2 linked regions of the Cricetulus griseus genome follow. The protein of the gene in region 2 purifies or fractionates together with the protein of the main gene of each other region. This does not show direct contact. Links are inferred from orthologs where the notes say so. Each region holds a gene or a part of one and is shown on either strand. Other genes may lie near its edges.

What was found.
Region 1: the proteins of Araf (region 2) and Bag2 purify together in Homo sapiens (affinity purification with mass spectrometry; 3 studies listed by BioGRID and IntAct, with this or other methods). This does not show direct contact. The link is inferred for Cricetulus griseus from reciprocal best matches to the Homo sapiens genes ARAF and BAG2.

The regions. Positions count from the first base shown.
Region 1 is NW_023276807.1:14,224,550-14,234,314, reverse strand, and holds the start of Bag2 (BAG family molecular chaperone regulator 2), read right to left. Parts: upstream 5,754-9,765; 5' UTR 5,683-5,753; coding exon 5,570-5,682; intron 1-5,569. UniProt on the Homo sapiens protein: Co-chaperone for HSP70 and HSC70 chaperone proteins. Acts as a nucleotide-exchange factor (NEF) promoting the release of ADP from the HSP70 and HSC70 proteins thereby triggering client/substrate protein release.
Region 2 is NC_048604.1:125,697,976-125,707,854, forward strand, and holds the start of Araf (serine/threonine-protein kinase A-Raf), read left to right. Parts: upstream 1-4,814; 5' UTR 4,815-4,970; intron 4,971-5,285; exon of another isoform or gene 5,286-6,139; intron 6,140-6,295; 5' UTR 6,296-6,352; coding exon 6,353-6,448; exon of another isoform or gene 6,449-6,483; coding exon of another isoform or gene 6,484-6,495; intron 6,496-6,618; coding exon 6,619-6,722; intron 6,723-7,677; coding exon 7,678-7,780; intron 7,781-7,869; coding exon 7,870-8,024; intron 8,025-8,141; coding exon 8,142-8,240; intron 8,241-9,563; coding exon 9,564-9,720; intron 9,721-9,821; coding exon 9,822-9,849; intron 9,850-9,879. UniProt on the Homo sapiens protein: Involved in the transduction of mitogenic signals from the cell membrane to the nucleus. May also regulate the TOR signaling cascade. Phosphorylates PFKFB2.

The sequences.
Region 1 (9,765 bases), on a different chromosome or scaffold from region 2:
GCACTTTGGGGTGGTTCACTTATAGCACGTCTCTAAAGAGCCAGTACGAGCAGCCAAGAATTGTATGTACAAATCTGGCCACAAACCAAACAAGACAAAATATTGGTAGGGCAACAAGCTCCTTCTAAGCCCACTGTATTACAGTAGTGGCCTCCTGCAGATAAATGAGAGCCCAGTAGGTAAGAAAGAGGCCCAGCTGGCAAGATGTGAAATGTTTATAATTAGAAACTCTAATTATGACTCCAGTGTTTAGAGAGATGATGCACAGACTCAGAACGACGGGATTACATTTTAGCACTTGCACTTGTATTAAATATGACTGAGGGATGGATGCTGTTCTAAAAGGGCTTCATTACAGTACTCAGGTGCAGCCCTTAGTTTGTGGGGTTAATGAAACAGATTAAAAAGGAAACGTCCTAGGGGAAAACAGCTCTGTGTATAAAGAAGCTATTTGAGCCAGGGATGTAGCTTTGAGGTCCAGGATGTGCTTAGATTTATAAAGCCTTGAGTTTGATCTCAGAGAGAGAGAGAGAGAGAGAGAGAGAGAGAGAGAGAGAGAGAGAGAGAGAATGATATTGACTGATGGGGGATCTTCCTTCCCCTGAAAGTTCTTTATGCATAGTAGAAATTGCCAGAGCGATATACATGTCTACATATATTTCTACATTTATCGTGGGCCTTTCATTTTCTGTTCTTTCTTCCTCCAACATTCTTCCTGATATTTAGGGTATTTTAAAAAATTCTGTTTCCCTTGGGCAGGGACTGTTCACAGCTTCCCTCTTCCTTTTCCTTAAGGAAATGAGTACCTTCCTTGGCACTTGTCTTAGTCATGGTGTCTATTGCTGTGACAGATCAGCATGAGCAAGAGTGACCTGGGGAGGAAAGGGTTTATTTTTCTGACTCTTCCACATCACAGTGCACCACTGAATGCAGTCCGTGTGCTCAAACAGGACGGAACCTGGAGGTAGAAGCTGATTCAGAGGCTACAAAAATGTTGCTTACTGGCTGGCTCCCTCATGGCTTGCTCAGTCTTTCTTATAGAAAGAACTCCAGCCCAGGCATGGTGCCACCCACAATGGATGGCTTCTTCTACACCAATCACTAATTATAAAAAAGAAAACAAAATATCCCAAAGCAGTGGTTCTCAACCCCTTGGGGCTGGGGGGGGGGTCAAACAACCCTTTCACAGGAGTTGCCCAAGACCATCGGAAAACACATTACAATTCATAAAAGCAGCAAAATTATAGTTATGACGTAGCAACGATAATAATTTTCTGGTTGGGGGTCACCACAACATGAGGAACTGTATTAAAGGGTTACACAGCATTAGGAACGTTGAGAACCACTGCCCAAAAAAGGCTTTCTTGCCTACAGCTTGATCTTATGGAGGCATTTTCTCAGTTGAGAGTCATTCTTCCCAAATGGCCCTAGCTTGTTTCAAGCTGACTTTAAAAGAAGGCAGGACAGCACTGTTCATTGGTCTTACCCCCACCCTCTTCCCTCTGAGACAGGACCTCATGTATCCCAGGCTAGCTTGGAATCCACTTGAGCTTCTGACCTTTCCACTTCTACCTCCTGAGTGCTGGTGTTACAGACATAGACGATGCCTGGTTTATCTGTACTGGCGATGGAACCTAGGGTTTCATGTGCACTAGGCCAGCATTCCTCACTACTCAGCTTGTTTAAATTATGTTTGCACTGTTTTATTGCTGTACTTAAACTCAATTCACAGAATTTTGTCTATGTAGCTTTTCCATTAGTCTGAGGTTAGTGACTGAACCTTATATACTGTCTGCCTCCCTTCCTATTAGTTTCTTAAGTAGATAGACAGATATAAACATCCAGTCTTGATAAACACATGTGATGATTCTTCTCTTGTCATCAAGGGGCATTTCTGTGGGGACTGGGATCCAGGGAGCAGCTACATGTCCAAATTGGGAAAGGAGGCATCTCACAGCCCCGCTGACTGGGCGGCACCTCTGGCAAGCTGCACTCTGAGCGGGCTCTGGCAAAGAGACTGTAGGGAGAATTTCCATGCACACAAAACTGCAGCATCCTCACTTGGTCCCCAGCCTCCCGGCATCTCATAAGCCTGCAGCAAGGGCAAACTGGTAGAAGGGCAGGTGCAGACAGGTGTCACCAGACAGCAGCTCACAAAAGTGACAACTCCGGAGCTACCACCCATGCTGTGTGAGGAACTACTGCTGACTTCACCAAAATGTCCTCACCCAGGACACCAAGGATAAGGAGACCTGGCCGTGACCGAACAAAGCAAACCAGAATGACAGCACCGGCTGAAAACTTTGGCATGAGTCAAACGCTATGCATGACATCAGCTGCAGGAGATTCACGGTGGTTATTCTAGACTTACTCACGGCCACACTCTCATTTGTTAACAAAAATGTATGCTTCTATGAACAGGGAACTGGCAAACGTTCACATCAGTGGATTTATGAGAAAGGAACTTTTTCTAAAACAAGATCTTAAACTCACAGACGAGGCTCCATGTGAGACCATGGCATCTGCTGCAATTCCTGATACTGTCAGGACAGCAAGGTTCTCTCCTTCACCAAAATGTAGCACTCATTCACAGTCAGAATGACTCACCAGTACAATAGATTAAGACAAGGTACCTAGTCCCTCAGTTTCTCCTCCCCCCCCATCCAGACAGGTCTCATGTATTCCAGGCTGGCCCAGAACTCACTGTATAGCCCAGGATGACCTTGAACTTCTGATCCTCTTGTCTCTAGGACTGGGACTATAGGCATGCACCACCATGCTGGCTTTCTGAAGCCAGGTATCAAACGTAGGGTTCTGAACCTGCTAGACAAGCATCCTATCAACTAAGCTCCTTTGCAACCCACTGCTCTCACAGCTGAAAGAGATAATAACAGCTTCCTCCTCCTCAAGGGTTATAGAAGTTTCAAATTACAAGGTATATGAAAAGTGTTCTTTTAAATTACAGACTATTACTCCAATTAAATATGGTGTCGACTTGCTTTGTGAGTCCTGGGACACTGGGACATCCTGACAGGAACCTTAAGCAGTAAGAAACCAAAGCAGCGGACAGTGCATTTCCTTGGCCCTGGCGACAACATCATTTCCTGCCTGGGTGGACTGGAAAGAACTACTCCCTATGGGACCATTTGGGAAGTGTACGGACAGCCGACCTCCCAGTCCTACCTATCATTCATTCCTCCTCTGCCAATCCCCGAGACCCAGCTGCTTTATCACCCACAGCTTCTAGAAGCTACTCAATACTTGGCACGTACTGGGTGCTCAATATTTACTCAATTAAATGCTAAATTGATTTTTCTTTTAGTAAAAGCACGTTCTTATGCCAACTGGACAGTTTGAAAAATGATATATTCAACACTAAGACACATGGTGTTTGATCTGAGCAGCCCCTCTTCCTGTGTTCAAACGTGGAGTCCACAGCTCTTGGCTGCAACTTGAGGCATGTCGTTTATATCTGAGCTTCAATTTCTCATCTGTAGAATACAGATAATGGTAACTCCCACAGAGGCATGAGGCCTAGCATGCAGATAGATGCTAACATGTATTATTTATAAACTAGGATAAACATTAAAAAGTAATAAGTAAGCCATCTAGCCACGAAGGGCGCAGAATCCCATAGAACTGGTCGCAAAAATCAAGAAAGGACAGGGTTACCTCTTTAGAGGAGCTGTAGTAGAAAATATTTTTTTTAATGTCAGATAGTGTAGTTAATATTATAAACTAATAGAAACGAACGACAATCCACTAACAGCTTGTAAAACAGGGCTGAACATTTTAAAGCATTTTAGGCAATCCCAGAGGTCAGTTCAGCCTCCAGGATATAAAGCCTTTGATGTGGTTTCAGTTTCAGAAGAAAAAGTGACTTCCACTGTCAATAGAATCCACACAACTGACTGGAAAATGCATACTATCTACAAACCAGGGTTTTACAGCACCAAATCCACAGCCTTGCTAATATTTGTATACAAGGAAGCTAGTATCGGGAAATCACACAAGCTTCATCTTTCCTCTATCATCCATATTTAAAAATTTTGTTTTGTTTTATTTTGTTTTTTTTTAAGACAGGGTTTCTCAGTAACTATGAAGCCAGTCCTGGAACTCACTGTGTAGACCAGGCTGGCCTCAAATTCACAGATATCCACCTGCTTCTACCTCCCGAGTGCTGGGATTAGAGGTGTGTGCCACCACTGCCCAGCTAAAAGTCTAAATTTTTAATAGTGCAGTGCCCTGTGTCAAAGTGGCTTCTAAAAAGGAGCCCCATGCCTTGAGCCATTAAACACACATTAAACTCTCCCTCTCAGCAAATAGTTAAAGTATCAATTAATCACATATGTGCAACAGTCAGAATTCCTTTTACATTAACCAAACATTAGACTGCAACACCAAACCCAAGGCTTTCAGGAACCCCCTCCACCCCCCTACCCAGCACTAGGGAGGCATTAATTCAGGTTTCAGGACAGTGACTCAGCTAAAGAAGAGTAACAACTTCCTAAACCCTTTCAAGGAGAAAAAAATCTGAGCAGTTGAGAATATACTGTCCAAGTTCAGTGCCTACTTTGTAGAGGGAAGCATTCCCTCTCCTCAGAAGGGCTTGAAAGCTGAGGTCCCTTTGTCTCACTCCGGGCTGGGGACTGTATGGTTAAGGCTTCTCTTGTGGCTACTCAGGAAATTGTGAAAAAAATTTCTCACCGTCTGGATCTCTGCTCCTAATAGTAATAATAACAAATGCCTCATTTGTAACAATGCTGCTTGTGGTAGTTTTCTGTGCAAACATCCTCCCGTTTGTTTGTTTGGTGGACGAATGGAAGGAGATTAGGCACACAAGACTCTTATGATTTTGCTCATATTCTTTTGCTTATGCAGAACCTGGAGAAAACTAGGGAACAAAATGTTCGCAGTTCCAGAAGACCCAGGGTGCCTTGATAAGATTTTCATGGAACAACACCTGCACACAATCAAGACTTGCACAACTTCGGAGACATTAACCAGATAGGTAAGATCTCAAATTGCTGTAGGCAACAAAGTATTTACAGCATTTGCTAGTATTTACTATTTAGAAATTTTACTACAACACCGATCCTGCGATAGAATCTCAGGCAGAGTGTGACTCGTACCTTTTCAGGCCTGTGGCTGGCACTTCCTAGGTGTCATCAGTATCTTCTAAATGCACAACAGATACAGACCGAATGCGGAGGGCATTGCACGTGGTTAAGAAAATGAAAGAACGCATCCAACTTTGCCACCCACAACGGCCACTCGTGGGTCTAATTCTCGCTGGTCGCGGGAGGTGCAGTCTGGAATTTTCCTTACTCTTGTGTTACTATGAAGTGGTTTGGGGCAAAGAAACTTACTACAATGGGAAGGTGGGAGGGAGAGACCCCACTAAGCTGCTGCCTCCCTCCAAAGAGCATTACTGGAAACGTGGAAGTTAGAGGCAGCGGGGACCACACACAAGGTTCTGGAAGTTGGGCAGGCCGCGCGCGCTCGCCCGGGGAGTGGAGCCCACCCGAGGCGCCCCCGCCTGCACGCTCACCCGCCCGCCCGCCCTCACCTGAGCTCCAGCTGGTCCAGGCTCTCCAGCAGGCGACTGGAGCGGTCTGCCATGGACGAGGAGCGACAGAAGCGACCCTCGTGGGCCTTGGCGCTGATCTTCGCCTGGGCCATGAGCTCCGGGGGTCCGGGGCGTCCGCGGGCAGCAGTGGCGCGGGCCGCACGTCGCCGTCACCGCGGGCGCCGCTGACGCGGACGGCACCGCCCCCGAGGCCGCGCGGCCAAACAAGGGCAGGCGCGGGCGCAGCCGCCAGCACTCGGGTGGGGGACCCTGTCCCGGTGCCCGTCGCCAGCCTCCCACCGGGCTGCCGGCTCGCCGATGGCTTCTGATGTTTGTCCCAACACCCACAATTCACAGCAGGGACAAAATCGTGCGGCCCGTGACGTGGGAGAAAAGATCCCCTGGTGTAGCGTTAAGACAATTGAGTGCGCCTTAGGGGCAGTCTCTACTTGCCCGACCTGCCGGGTTACCAGGCAGGCTCCTAAGAGGACAGGGAGAGCCTGGGCAACACTGTGCTCCAAATAAGGAAAAGCCAAGTGCATTTATACTGTCTCGCCTTTCTAATGAAAGGTTATTACTTTCACACCCAACTTATTGAAATCCTCCGTGAATAATATTCAATAGGCTCCTGCAGAGGTCACTAAGAGGTGGAGTAGGGTTGAAATACAAAGCCATGTCTGGTTAGAGTTGTGTTTTGTCCTCTCGGTGCACAGAAAATGAGAAACTTGGATTTACAACCTTGAATCAGAACTCAAAGCCATTTGATGACTTAACAGAGTCAAGTCCCTTAAGCACAGCTGGCTTCCAGGTCCTCCACCACCATCACCACCCGCCCCATCCCCAACTCATTTTACATAATAAGGAACAGTAGGTTATCTGGCTTCATTAAACATTGTCATTTCATGACACAAATGTGAAATTTGAACGTTTTGTGAATGTCTTGAAAAATCGAAGCTTGCGCTCATCTCAGGTCTAATGCCAGCTCATCTGGATGTTGATAAAGGATTGTGTCTCTCGGGCCAGAGTGAGTTCAAAGGCCAGGCGGGGTTGCTTTGCCAAGAGCTAAAAATCTCAAAAAGTATAAGGGGCTGTAGACGTAGCTCGGTGGTATAGCATCTGCCTTTGTCCTAGGTTAGCAACTAAACAAGGCAGATGTCATGGATTCAGTGTCTTATGCTCTCTGGCATCTGGTCCTCAGTTGGCTGTTTGGGAACGATTATGTGTGGTCTTGCTGGAGGAAGTATGTCACTCTGGGCATGTTGCAGAAGACTAGCCATTCCCAGTGTGTCTCTGCCTCCTCCTTGGGTTCCAGATGAGTGCTCAGAACCTGTCCTTGATGCCATCGTGACTCTGACCCTCTGTAGCTGAGCCCAATTAAATGATGTTTTGCTTTGTTTTTTGAGACAGGGTTTTTCTGTAGCTTTGGAACCTGTCCTGGAACTCCCTCTGTAGACCAGGCTGGTCTGGAACTCACAGAGATCTGCCTGCCTCTGCCTCCTGAGTACTGGGATCAAAGGCAAGTGCCACCACCGCGGGGCTTAAATGATTTATAAGTTGCCTTGGTCATGGTGTTTTATCCCAGCAAAAGGAACTAATATAGCAGATATCTTCAAAGTAACCATTTTATTTTAATTTTGTGTCACCAGTTGGGCACACACAGAGGCATTTTCAGACTACATGTGTGTTCCTGTCTAAAGATGTGTGAACTCTTTAGAGAGAGTGTGCTTCTGAATGGCCAGGCTCCTCCCATATGACTATAGACTCTCTGAACGAAATCCCCAGTGCTTGTGGAGTTTGTGGAGAGCTTTGCTTTGGTAATGGCTCCCATGCTCTTCCTTCCTACCCAGTACAGGTTGCAAACCTTTGTAGTTTTCATCTTGGCTGTGCTTATTTTGGTTTCACAACCAACAGAACATTTTGTTACAGGTTTGGTAATTTTCAGGGTTCTAGACTAGAATCACTCTGGACTTTCACTCATATCCTGGACCCAACCCATTAGTAAGTCCCAATTCTACTTTCAGAATATATCTTGACTCTTCCAATCCCACCATCACCTGGCCAGTCTTCCCTGGGTGACTGCAAAGCCCCATCCGCTCCCTCGGCATCTATCTTGCCTCTCTTGGGAATTTTTTTTTTTTGGTTTTTCGAAACAGGGTTTCTCTGTGGCTTTGGAGACTGTCCTGGAACTAGCTCTTATAGACCAGGCTGGTCTCGAACTCACAGGGATCCACCTGCCTCTGCCTCCCGAGTGCTGGGATTAAAGGCGTGCACCACCAACGCCCGGACATCTCTTGGGAATTCTTAATACAGTATTTAAGCACAGTAGATTGTACCAAACCCTCAGGAACCTCCTGTGGCTCACCACAGAGCAAACAAAAGAAGCACCATTTCTCTTAAGTGTGTGTCACTTTTGCAAAATCCTAAATCAAACCACAAGTCAGGGGCCACCTTGTACATTTTTTTGCATGGCTGATTCCTTTGCCTTCTTTGAATCTTGGCTTAAGTTCACTTACCAGTGAAATTTTTCCTGACCACTGTTAAAAATATCAAGCCTGAGCTGAGCGGAGTGGGCGCACATCTGTAATCCCATCAAGCATAAGGCTGACCAGGAGGACCTGGATTGGAGACTAACCTAGGCTACACAGCAAGATGCTGGCTCAAAAAAAGAAGTAATTCTAGGGTTGGGGAGAGCTAAGTGGTAGAGAGTGTTTGCCTAGCATGGATGCTGCCCCAGATTTGATGATCCCCAGTGCTGCAACCCACCCTGAATCCGGCATCATTCTCACTGCTTCTATACTTACTACATTATCCCCAATAGGTACAGTTTTACCTATCTGCTTGTTACCCAATACTCTCTCCATATAGCCCACTCTCCATGTCTGAGCAGTAGAGGGACCGGAGCTCTTAGGATCACTGTCCCATCTCATGTACTTTGAGCAGCTGCTGTCACTTGGTAGATCCACAATACTTTGTGAACAAGTGAATTAACAATGAAATGAAAAAAAAAAAAAAAACCCTGTTATCAATATTAGAAATATACTTGAGATAATAATCTACAACTTTATTATTAATGATTCCTGTCTAAATTCAAATTATGAAGCAGTTTTATAATGTTTTAAAATCATTTAGTGAGTAATGATGTTAACACATTAAAGAACACTGTTACCTCTTCCTAAGAGCCTCAGGGAACTATCCCTTTCCTGTCAAACCAAAAGGTTCGGCTGCTGTATGAATGCTATAGGAGGTGCTGGGAGTGAATCCCTGATCTTAGGCACACTAGGCAAACACTGAGCCACACACTTAACACAAAAGCTCCTTAACAGACTATCAGGGTACACCATGCTTGGATGTAGAATTTCTGTGGAATTTCTGGCAAAGAAATGCAAATGTTTCTTCTTGTTCCAGATCTGCATAGCTACTTTCAAGGTTGTCTTTCTTGTTGTTTAGCAAGGTCCTGCAAATGTGTTTAAGATCAACATGAGGACTGCCTTTTATATAGCCTTGCTTGACACTTTAACATAAAAATGTCAAAGCAGCCTGGGCTGCATAGTGACAGCTTCTTGAAAACAAAAGCAAAAGAAAAATAAAGCACAGTCTGATTGATTTTGCAATATAAATACCAAATTCTCAAGCTATAATATCTACTTAAAAAAGAAAGGCATAGTGGCAAACCTCTGTATTGGGGAATATTACTTTAAGGTGTTTGACTTTTGCTGATGCTGCATTTGCTTAACTCTGTGAAGCTGTTTTAGTTTGCCTGCCTAACATACCCGATTGGTCTAATGAAGAGATGGATGGCCAGTAGCAAGGCAAGAGCAAGAATAGGTGGAGCTGGCAGGCAGAGAGTATAAATAACTAAGAATAATAAGCCTCCATGTGTGATTTATTTTGAAGCTGGGTATTGGGCCCCCCAAAGAGCCAAAAAAGTAAAACATTCCCCCCCAGAATCCCAACACTCACAAAGTAGAAGACAGTGACAGCTGGAGGCCCTTCTAGGTGCTCACTAGCTCCTCCAGGATAGCTTTAAGGAAAATGGTTAGACACTCTGAAAAACAAACAAAAAATCAAAACCAAAACAAGAGTGTAGGCAGAGAGGAGACACACTGCTTTTAAAGCAGCACCTGGGATATAAGCTCTGCCCTACGTATCCCAGAAAAGGACCAAGACACAACATACTCAGCTCAAAAAGTGACATT
Region 2 (9,879 bases):
TGATGCAGGAGGATTATGACTTCAAGGTCAGATTAAGATAACATAGGGAGTTCTGGGCCAGTCTAAACTACACAGTGAAACCCTGTCTCCAAAGGAAGGTAGGAAAGGAGGGAGGGAAGAAGGGAGGAAGGAAGGAAGAAAGGAAGGAAGGAAGAAAGGAAGGAAGGAAGGAAGGAAGGAAGGAAGGAAGGAAGGAAGGAAGGAAATGTTCTGACTCTGGAGAGATGCCCAGAGGTTAAAAGAAAGTGTGATTCTTACAGAGAACCGAAGTTCCATCCCTAGTCCTCCACAGAGTCCAAGCCCTTCAGTGCTCCGTGGGCGTCCACATGCACAACCGCATGATTAGAAATAAAACTAAAATCTTAAAAATGTTTTAAAACAAATTAAATCATATCTAGGAGAATTCAAAGTTTAAAACACAACCTCTCTTCCCTCTTCCAAAGCATTTTGGAGCCTGCCACTGAGTTCCAGCAGCAGTTGCTTGTGACACAACAGCGCAGTAGACCTGCGCTGGGAGATGGGAGTTTGAGGGTCTAGAAATTCAATTTCAGAAAAGAAAACTTAAAAAATTCAATCCATAGTCATTTCTAAGAAATTACTATGTTTAGGATTATGTCTGGAACCATTTTTTTTGCCATGCACATTTTGGTGGCACTGGGAATTGAGCCTCAAGCCTTGCAATATGACAAATACCCTGTTACTCTAGCCCTATATCCATTTTAATTGGTGTATATTTTACATAAATTAATACATGTGGTGATATATTATTTATGATTTACTAAAGACTGCCTGAAGGATCAGGATGCAAACCCAGCCACACTAGTTAGCTATAGAAACAATGCAGTGGTGGCACACACCTTTAATCCCAGGACTCAAGAGACAGGCAGATGGATCTCTCTGAGTTCAAGGCCACCCTGGCCTACACAAAGATAAAGGGTATCAGAGCTCCAAGCCTTTGATCCCAGCACCTGGGATCACAGGCCTTTAATCCCAGCACTAGGGAGGTGGAGACAGGAGTGTTATGGCTGGGCAGAGAAAGGAATAAAAGGAGAAAGAGATAGGAATTCAGAGCTTTGTGCCTCTGAAATGACAGGTTTGCCATTTCAGCTCGATAGAGAGAAAATCTACAGGCTTGGCTGCTTTGCTTTTCTGATCTTCAGCTTGAAGCTTGAACCCCAGTAGCTGTCTCTGGGTCTTTTATTTTTCATGTTACAAAAATATATATCTATTTTCAGGATAATGTTTAATAAGTTTTGAAGAAATCCATACAGAACATTCCAATTGTCTCCAAAAATCCCTTTATGTTTGTCTAAAAAGAGGTTAATTTGGGCTTATGTTTCTGAAGGCTAGAAAGTCCAAGAGAATTGTACCTGAATCTCCTTGGCTCCTGAAAAGGGCCTCACAGGGGAAGTTAGAAGGAAAATGGAGACTACAGAGAACAGCAGGGGTGGGGGGTGGGAGGGCTGGAGAGATAGCTCAGCAGTTAAGAGCTCTGGCTGCAGCCAGTGGTGGTGGTGTCCCACACCTTGAATCCCAGCACTCAGGAGGCAGAGGCAGGTGGATCTCTGTGAGTTTGAGAACAGCCTGCTCTACAAGAGCTAGTTCCAGGACAGCCTCCAAAGCCAGAGAAACCCTGTCTCGAAAAAACAAAACAAAAACAAAAACAAACAAAAAATTGCTTCCCAGCACCTGTACCTACACATGTGTTAAACACACACACACGCACACACACACACACACACACACACACACACACACACACACACACACACACACACACACACACACGGTGGGGGGGAGGCATAAAAGAAATAAAATCTTTTTAAAAGAAGATAGAAGATAGGACAAAGAGGGTCAGACACTTTTATTCTGGGGCCTGGGGAAATGGGGGGAAAACAACACTCACCATACAGTCATGAGGACCTGAGGGTAAAAGGCAGGTGCACCTCTGTGATGCCAGTGCTGAGAAGGTGGAAATAGGCAGAACCCTGGAGCTCACTGGCCAGCCAGTCTAACAAAAAAGGTGACCTCCGGGTTCAATGAGAGACCCTGTCCAAAAAGTAAAGTGGCGATGGATTGAGAGAGACCCCTCCAGGCCAGTCTCTGGCTCCCACACATACAAGCACATGAACCTGCATGAACATAGGCAGATATCCACATGTATACAAGCACCCAGCCTTACCTTTTATGTTGAGTTCATGAGTGTCCAGCTGTATGTATGTTTGCATGTATATGAAATAAGGAGGTTGACAACTGGTACCCTTCCCCAGGTGCCACCCACTTTATTACTATTTTGTGTGCCCCTGATGGGGAGTGGTGCACATGTGCTATGGCATATATGTAGAGGTCAGAAGACACCTTTGTGGAGTCGGTTTTTCCTTCTACCTTTTTGTAGGTTTCAGGGATCAAACTCAGGTTACCTGGTTTGTAATACAAGCACCATTTTGTTTTGGTTTTTTGAGACTGGGTTTCTCTGAGTAAAAACAGTATTGGCTGTCTCAGAACTCATTTTGTGGACCAAGTTGACCACAAATTCACAGAGATATGCCCGGCCTTTGCTTCCCAAGTGCTGGGATTAAAGGTGTGCACCAACACAAGCACCTTTAACCACTGAACCATCTTTGCTAGACTTTACCTTGTTTGTTGAGACAGAGCCTTTTTTTATTGGCCTGGAGCTCACTAGTTCTGCTAGACTTGCTGGCAGCTAGTCCCAGGGATTTTGGTGTCTCCTCCTCTAACGGATTACAAACACAGATCACCATGATCCATTTACTTTTATTTGGGAAGTACCTCAGTACTTCACTTGTACTTGTGAAGCACTCACTTTACCAACTTGAGTCATCTCCCTAGCACCCAAGAACACGTTTTTTCAAGAGCAAGAACTAAGCTAGACTTGAAATAAAGACATCAATACCCCTGAAAGGTCTCACCTATCAGCATTCCTGCATTGGCAATCAAATTCCACTAGGAATTTTGACAAGGACAGACCACCTCCACACCATAGTAACAGTCTCTCTACTCTTCCCCAAGATGACAACTAGCTTGACTTCTTTCACTGTAGACTAGTTTTTCCTGGCTTAGAATTCCATGGAATACTCTTTTGTGAGATTCTATTTTGTATCTGGCTTCTTTCCCTTAACCATAAGTCCAGAGGATTCATTTGTTGTCTAGTTCTTTGTGATTTCTGAGTGTCATTCTATTAATGTGATCATTGTCATAGTTCTTGGTGAATTCTTTTGTTGGGTACCTTGGCTGTTTCTAGGGTGTTTTTTTTGCTTTGTTTTGATTTTTGTTAATATAAATAAAGATAATCTGAACATTTACATACAACTTTTAGTATGGATATGAGGCATGCTGTGGTTGGGTCACCACAGCCAATTTTGGGCCTGTAGTAACTCTGGTTCAGTGATGTCATATTGATAGTTTGAAATAGCTACTGTAGGAATCTTTGTACCACAACTGGCAAATGCTACAAATTGCAGCTGTTTTCTTCCTGGAAAGCTGATTGTTACCATTTACCAGCATATCATTTGGATATATGTTTTCATTTCTCTAGTGTAAATACTTAGAAATGATGTTGCTGAGCTACATGACTGATTTTTAATTTTCAAATTATTTCTTGTCATGTTTTTCCAGAGAATTTAAAGAAAGAAATCTTATCCTTTTATAGAACCAACAGACTCAACCCATTACATACAAGTTCTCAAAATAACCGCTAACTTGTTTTGAAATAAGAAAACGTGACAGCACCATTTGGGATACAGGGTTCCTTCTAAATTCATCTAGTAGTCAGGGTGGCCATCTGTTACTTTATCCAAAGGAAAACCAAGACTCATAACTTCTGACAAACAAGTAACAACTTTAAGCTGGACACACAGAGGAAGTTCCCACCAGTCAGGGAGATGGGGTGTTGTTATATTCGAAAAAGGTAGTTTCAAGGCCCCTAAGGAAAATTTTCTGTGGTTGTAAAACTGTCAAGACACCAACCTAATCTTTTTTAAAGGGTGCTGGGGATTTAACTTGGGGCTTTGTGGTTCATTCTATTGGTGAGCTTCAAATGGCCAGAGAAAATATGTTTTCTAAAGGAAATGTTCCAAGAAAAAGAACACGTGCGTGTGTGTGTGTGTGTGTGTGTGTGTGTGTGTGTGTGTGTGTGTGTGTGTGTGTGTGTGTGTGTCCCTCTTATTCTTATTTTGATGTCAGGGAAAGTTCAATTTAAAAACTATGTTCATCCTAAAATATGTCCACAAATGGCTGCCACAGTGTTGCATTCCAGATCCACACTCCCCTCTTCACCTAGCCACCTGTGGCCTGTCTTTCAAATTCCTCCTCAACCATTTTCCTAAAGGAAGCCTCCCTCCCTCCAGCCAGACCACCAGCACGGTTCTTCTACTTATCAAGAATTATGGCTACAGTCTCCTAAAGCTGGTAAATACTGGACATCATTTAGTCCGATTGCACCCCATTTTAAGGATAGTCAAACTAAGACATACGAACGTCCTTTAAAATGTGCTTACAGCACTGGCTCCAAATTGCATTTAAGGGTTTTCTCTCGCCCTTATTCTTAAGCCCCTAAAATCAGCCCCAAATGGCCAGAAAATACACAATTAAAATCGAGTCGTCCTCCCGACACTCACACCAAAAAAAGGACAAGCTTTTTTTATTCTGCAGCAGTGTTAGGGTTAAAGTCCTTAACACGCAGTTGTCGTCCAGACTGTGCCTGAGCGCCAATCAGGACAGGCGAATTTGCCCTAGAGACTACCATTTGGGGCCACCCCTCCTAATCCGGAACACGACCCACATTCCGCTGGTCCTGTGTTGACGGGCGTGATCTTCCTCCAATAAGAACGGAGGGCTGAGTCCTGGAGAGCCAATAACAAGAAGCCGAGGGACGGTGGCGGCGGACTGTTAAGAGGAAACAAGAAGACAGGCCCAAGATGGAGGCGGTGGTGGTGGTAGCGGTGTGACAGGTGAGGGCAGGCCCGGTAGGGTTTGGGTTTTGGAGCTGCCGCCGGACCCGGGCAGGAAGTCGGACCGAAAGCTAAGCTCCAAGATGTTTCTGTCTGAATCTCAACACCCCCCGCCCGGAACCAAAGGAGTGGTTTGACCCGGGGCGAGACCATCATCTACCGCGGGAGTGGATAGAGTCCGCGGACAGCCTGCTGTGGTTGCGCCCGCTGCGAGTGGCAGTGCGCCTGCGCAGAACCTAAAGCCCTTCGGGAGGGCGGGACCGGGCCAAATGGGGTCTGGGGTCTGGGGCTTGGGTGCGAGATTCTAAGATGAACTCAAACCCCTCCAAGTGGCTGACATTTCCTCACCAAATCCAGGAGATGCAGCTCTCTCCCATGATTCCTTGTTATCCTAAAAATTCTACCCCTCTTAGGAAAATGTTTGAGGACCGCCCCATTACCCCTAATTCACCTCAGCCTCCTTCCAAGATTCCCCAGTGCGTTTACATCAGTAATGTATTTGTGACCCTTCAGTAGTTATCTGGGAGAATTTTTGGAGACCTTTTCCCCAACCTTACCTCTATTTTCCTCACCTGGATATCATTGTGTTCTTTTTCCTTTCCTTTTAGCAGTGTTTTCTGGTGGGCAGTTATTGCCATTTGCATTTGGCTTAAATGTGTAATTCAGTCTATTATCCATCTGCCTTTCATAGTCCCTAATGACTCCTATTATATTTCTCTTCAGCATAGTGCTTGGTGACCCACTTTGTGAATTCATCACAGTCTGGTGACCTCTATTGGCTATCTGACAGTGCCTTTAATTCTACCCTCAGCCTTGCAGCTCAGGGCTCTGGGATGCTCTCACAGTGCCTTTTAACATCATGGCACAGTCTCCATTTCCTCCAAATGGAGGAAAGATACGACATAAAGATACGACGATCGTCCATTTTTCCGTTCCCTGTCTGTAACTCCTTTTACTATACTATCTGATCTCTTCATTCTCCATTAAAAGCCAGGGCAGCCTGTTCATTCCCATTATGTGTTTGAGCCTTTGTTCTCCAGTACAGTACATACTGACATCCCCATTAGTCTCCAGAAGAATTTTGTGTACTGTGCTTCCTCACTGAGGTGATTTTGAGATCTTGGCACTCAACTGTGAGATAAGCAATAGGAGATTCTGAGCAGAGAAGGGTAAGCACCAGGTGTTAGCATTATCAGGGCTATTTCATGAAATTTGGGCTGCAGGGAGCAATGGGAGCTTGGAGATGGAATTTTATTTGTCCTCTGCCATTCTGCTTTCAAACTATTATTACTAGACCTCGGAATTTTTCCTCTGCCCTCTCCTAGGAGCCCTATGGCACCCGTTCAGTCCTACCTCAGCCCATCTTGACAAAAGCAGGTTCCATGGAACCACCACGAGGCCCTCCTGCTAGTGGGGCTGAGCCATCTCGGGCAGTTGGCACTGTCAAAGTGTACCTGCCTAACAAGCAACGCACAGTGGTGAGTCACTGAGACAAAACTGGCATGTGTTCCAGATGGTCCCAATTGTAAGTCTGGGATAAGAAGGGTGACAAGGGGCCAGGGAATGGCTACTGCAGAGGGATGGGATAATTGGCTAGGGCATTTATTAGGTACTCAAGACCCCAACCTGTGTACACATCCACACATAGGTGACTGTCCGGGATGGCATGAGTGTCTATGATTCATTGGACAAGGCCCTCAAGGTTCGGGGTCTCAATCAGGATTGCTGCGTGGTCTACAGACTCATCAAAGGGTAAGTATGGAAACCCTGTGCCATCCATTGGGTACCCAAAAACCTCTGTTCATCAGTGTCATCTTAGTCCTTCTTTTCTGTCTTGGAGTCTTCCACTAGTTGAGGTAACCCAGGTAACATCTTTTGTTTCACTTCATTCATGGACCTGGAAGGTCTGCAACTCATTATCTACTCAGCCTTCAGGTCCTCATTCCGTCACCTTCCAGAGTTCATCTATTTTGTTCTGTCACAATTTCCTGAACTCATCAGCTCTTTCTTTTCTCATTTCCCTCATGGACTGTAGAATTGGTCTTCAATGGTATTCTTTTATTCCTGTGTTCTTTGGTTCCTTAACTTTTTGGATGTAGTTCATGTTTTACATTTTATCTATTCTTTCAATGTCTTATCAGCCCCATTCTCAGGTGCTGGCTTAATACTTCTGACATTTCATCTCATTTGCCTCTTATCTCATGGTTAAAGATCATGGATTGAATCTGGGAATGGTGGGCATACCTGTGATCCTAGCAATTAGGCAAATCACTTCATCTCTTGAGCCTGTTTCCTCATCTATAAAATGGGAGTGAGAATAGTGGCTTTTTTCTTGGGAAATTTTACCTTCTTTTTTGTGTGTGAGTGTTTTGACTCTGTGTGTGTGTGTGTGTGTGTGTGTGTGTGTGTGTGTGTGTGTGTACTGTGTGTTCCTGATGCTTATGGAGGCCAGAAGGTTCTAGATCCCCCAGAACTGGAGATTGTGAGCCAGCATGTGAATGTCTAGAACTAAACCCAGGTCCTCTGCAAGAGCAGCAAGTACTCTTACTGCTGAGCCATCTCTCCAGCCTAATAGTGACTAGCTGAGTGAAAAGTAAACATTCCAGAGAGTAGTTCATGGATGGGGCTGAGAGGAACTTTTGGAACTTCCTTGTCTACCATAGCCCTAGTCCACCATCCTATTTGTTCTCTCCCATACTCCTTTCAGAAGGAAAACAGTCACTGCCTGGGACACAGCCATTGCACCCCTGGATGGTGAAGAGCTCATTGTGGAGGTCCTAGAAGATGTGCCACTGACCATGCACAATTTTGTAAGTGCGACAGGGTGGTGGGGGAGGCCATGGTGTTGACAGAGAGGGCCCTCAACCAGGCCTGGGTTTTCCCTGCTTTGTGACTGCAGGTACGGAAGACATTCTTCAGCCTGGCCTTCTGTGACTTCTGCCTTAAGTTTCTGTTCCATGGCTTCCGCTGCCAAACCTGTGGCTACAAGTTCCACCAGCATTGTTCCTCCAAGGTCCCCACAGTCTGCGTTGACATGAGTACCAACCGCCAACAGTGAGCCTAGCCTGGGGTGGCTTAAGGGATGGGGAGGACAGAAGCCCAGGTACAAGGGCTGACAGACAGCTGACCTACACTCACAGCCTTCTTGTTTTACACCTTTATGTCCTCAAGGTTCTACCACAGCATTCAGGATTTGTCTGGAGGCTCCAGGCAGCAAGAGGTTCCCTCAAATCTCCCTGTGAATGAGCTGCTAACCCCCCAGGGTCCCAGGTAGGGATGCCTTAGGTAAAAGGCTGGGGGTCAGTGAGGAAAGGGTCAGAGGACCCTGGTAGGTCATATTTTTATCCATTCGTCTACTTCATAAATGCTTATTGAGCATATACAAGTCTGTGGAAGGTCATGGAACTGTAAGGCACCTTGTCACACTGGCTCTTTCATCTGGAAAGAGGGGATGGTACTTCACCACAGTGGGTTGTGAAAATGATTAAGAGTTGAGATATGTGCAATGATTAGTGTGGGATCTGATACAGAGTAAATAATTCTTATTGTTAATTACAAATATACAAACATCTAACTAGTTTGTTTGATTCTTCCAGTATAACCACACTCAAGTCTGTTCTCTTTGAAATACATATTAGTGTATCAGAAAAGTACTTTTTTTTGAGTGGGAAGTTTTATTAGAAAGGGGAGGATACCATATACTTTTATATAATATATAAAAGGTCAGGTTAATGTATTTTTTTTATTTGTAGTTATGAGTGTATGTGTGTTGATTACCCATAAATTTAGTCTCAGGATGGTGAAAGGAACAGAAAAATGTTTTGTGTAAGGTGTGCTAATTCATGGGATGTAGAGGCAAGAGGATCAATAGTTCAAGGCCACCCTCCACTAATCAGCAAGTTCAAGCCTGAACTACATGAGACTGTCTCAAAACAGCAAAAAAAGTTTTTGTAACATGATATATGTGTAATCTTTATATTATATGTGTAATATGTATTACATAATATGATAATATGTATATTTAAAACATTGCCATTTTAATATAGGTAATATATATTATTACAAAATAAATAACATTTGAAAAATACATGTCATTATGATGATATGTAATAAAAAAATCATATCTTACCCTTTCTTCAACTATCTTTGGCCTTCATTGTCCCTCCTTTAGACCTTTTCCCCAATGTCACCCTTTCTGAGAGCCTACTCCTGACTATCCCAGGGACACTTTCTACCTTACTTCATTTTATTTTTCTCCTTTTTGTGTCTATCAGTAGCAGGATATATATATATATGGATATATACATATATCCATATATATATATATATATATATATATATATATATATATATTTCTTCTACCTCTACTAGAATAACCCTACAAGGACAAGAGCTTCTAATTTATGGTATCCACAGTTTGATCTTGAGTTGAGAGTGGAATCTGGTTTACACGAGGCACTTAGTAAATGTTTCTTGAACAGATGGTTACTGGTGTGACCAGTAGACATGTACTATGTATGAGTTAAATGTACATTCAGGGTGGCAGGGTTGGGCTTTCTTTGCTTTCTGCTTCCTTTTGCATCGATTTCATAGCCTTTTCTCTATCAGCCCCCGCACCCAGCCCCGTGACCTGGAGCACTTCTCCTTCCCTGCCCCTGCCAATCCCCCACTGCAGCGCATCCGCTCTACATCTACTCCTAACGTCCACATGGTCAGCACCACAGCGCCCATGGACTCCAGCCTCATGCAGGTGGGTGCCAAGGAGGCAATGGTGGGGAGCAACAGAGCATTGCTCTGAGCCGTTTCTGTTGTTACATGCTCACTTTAACTACTGCTCCCACCCCCTTCCAGTTCACTGCTCAGAGCTTCAGCACCGATGGTGAGAGAATCCCCCCACCCCTTGCCTGCA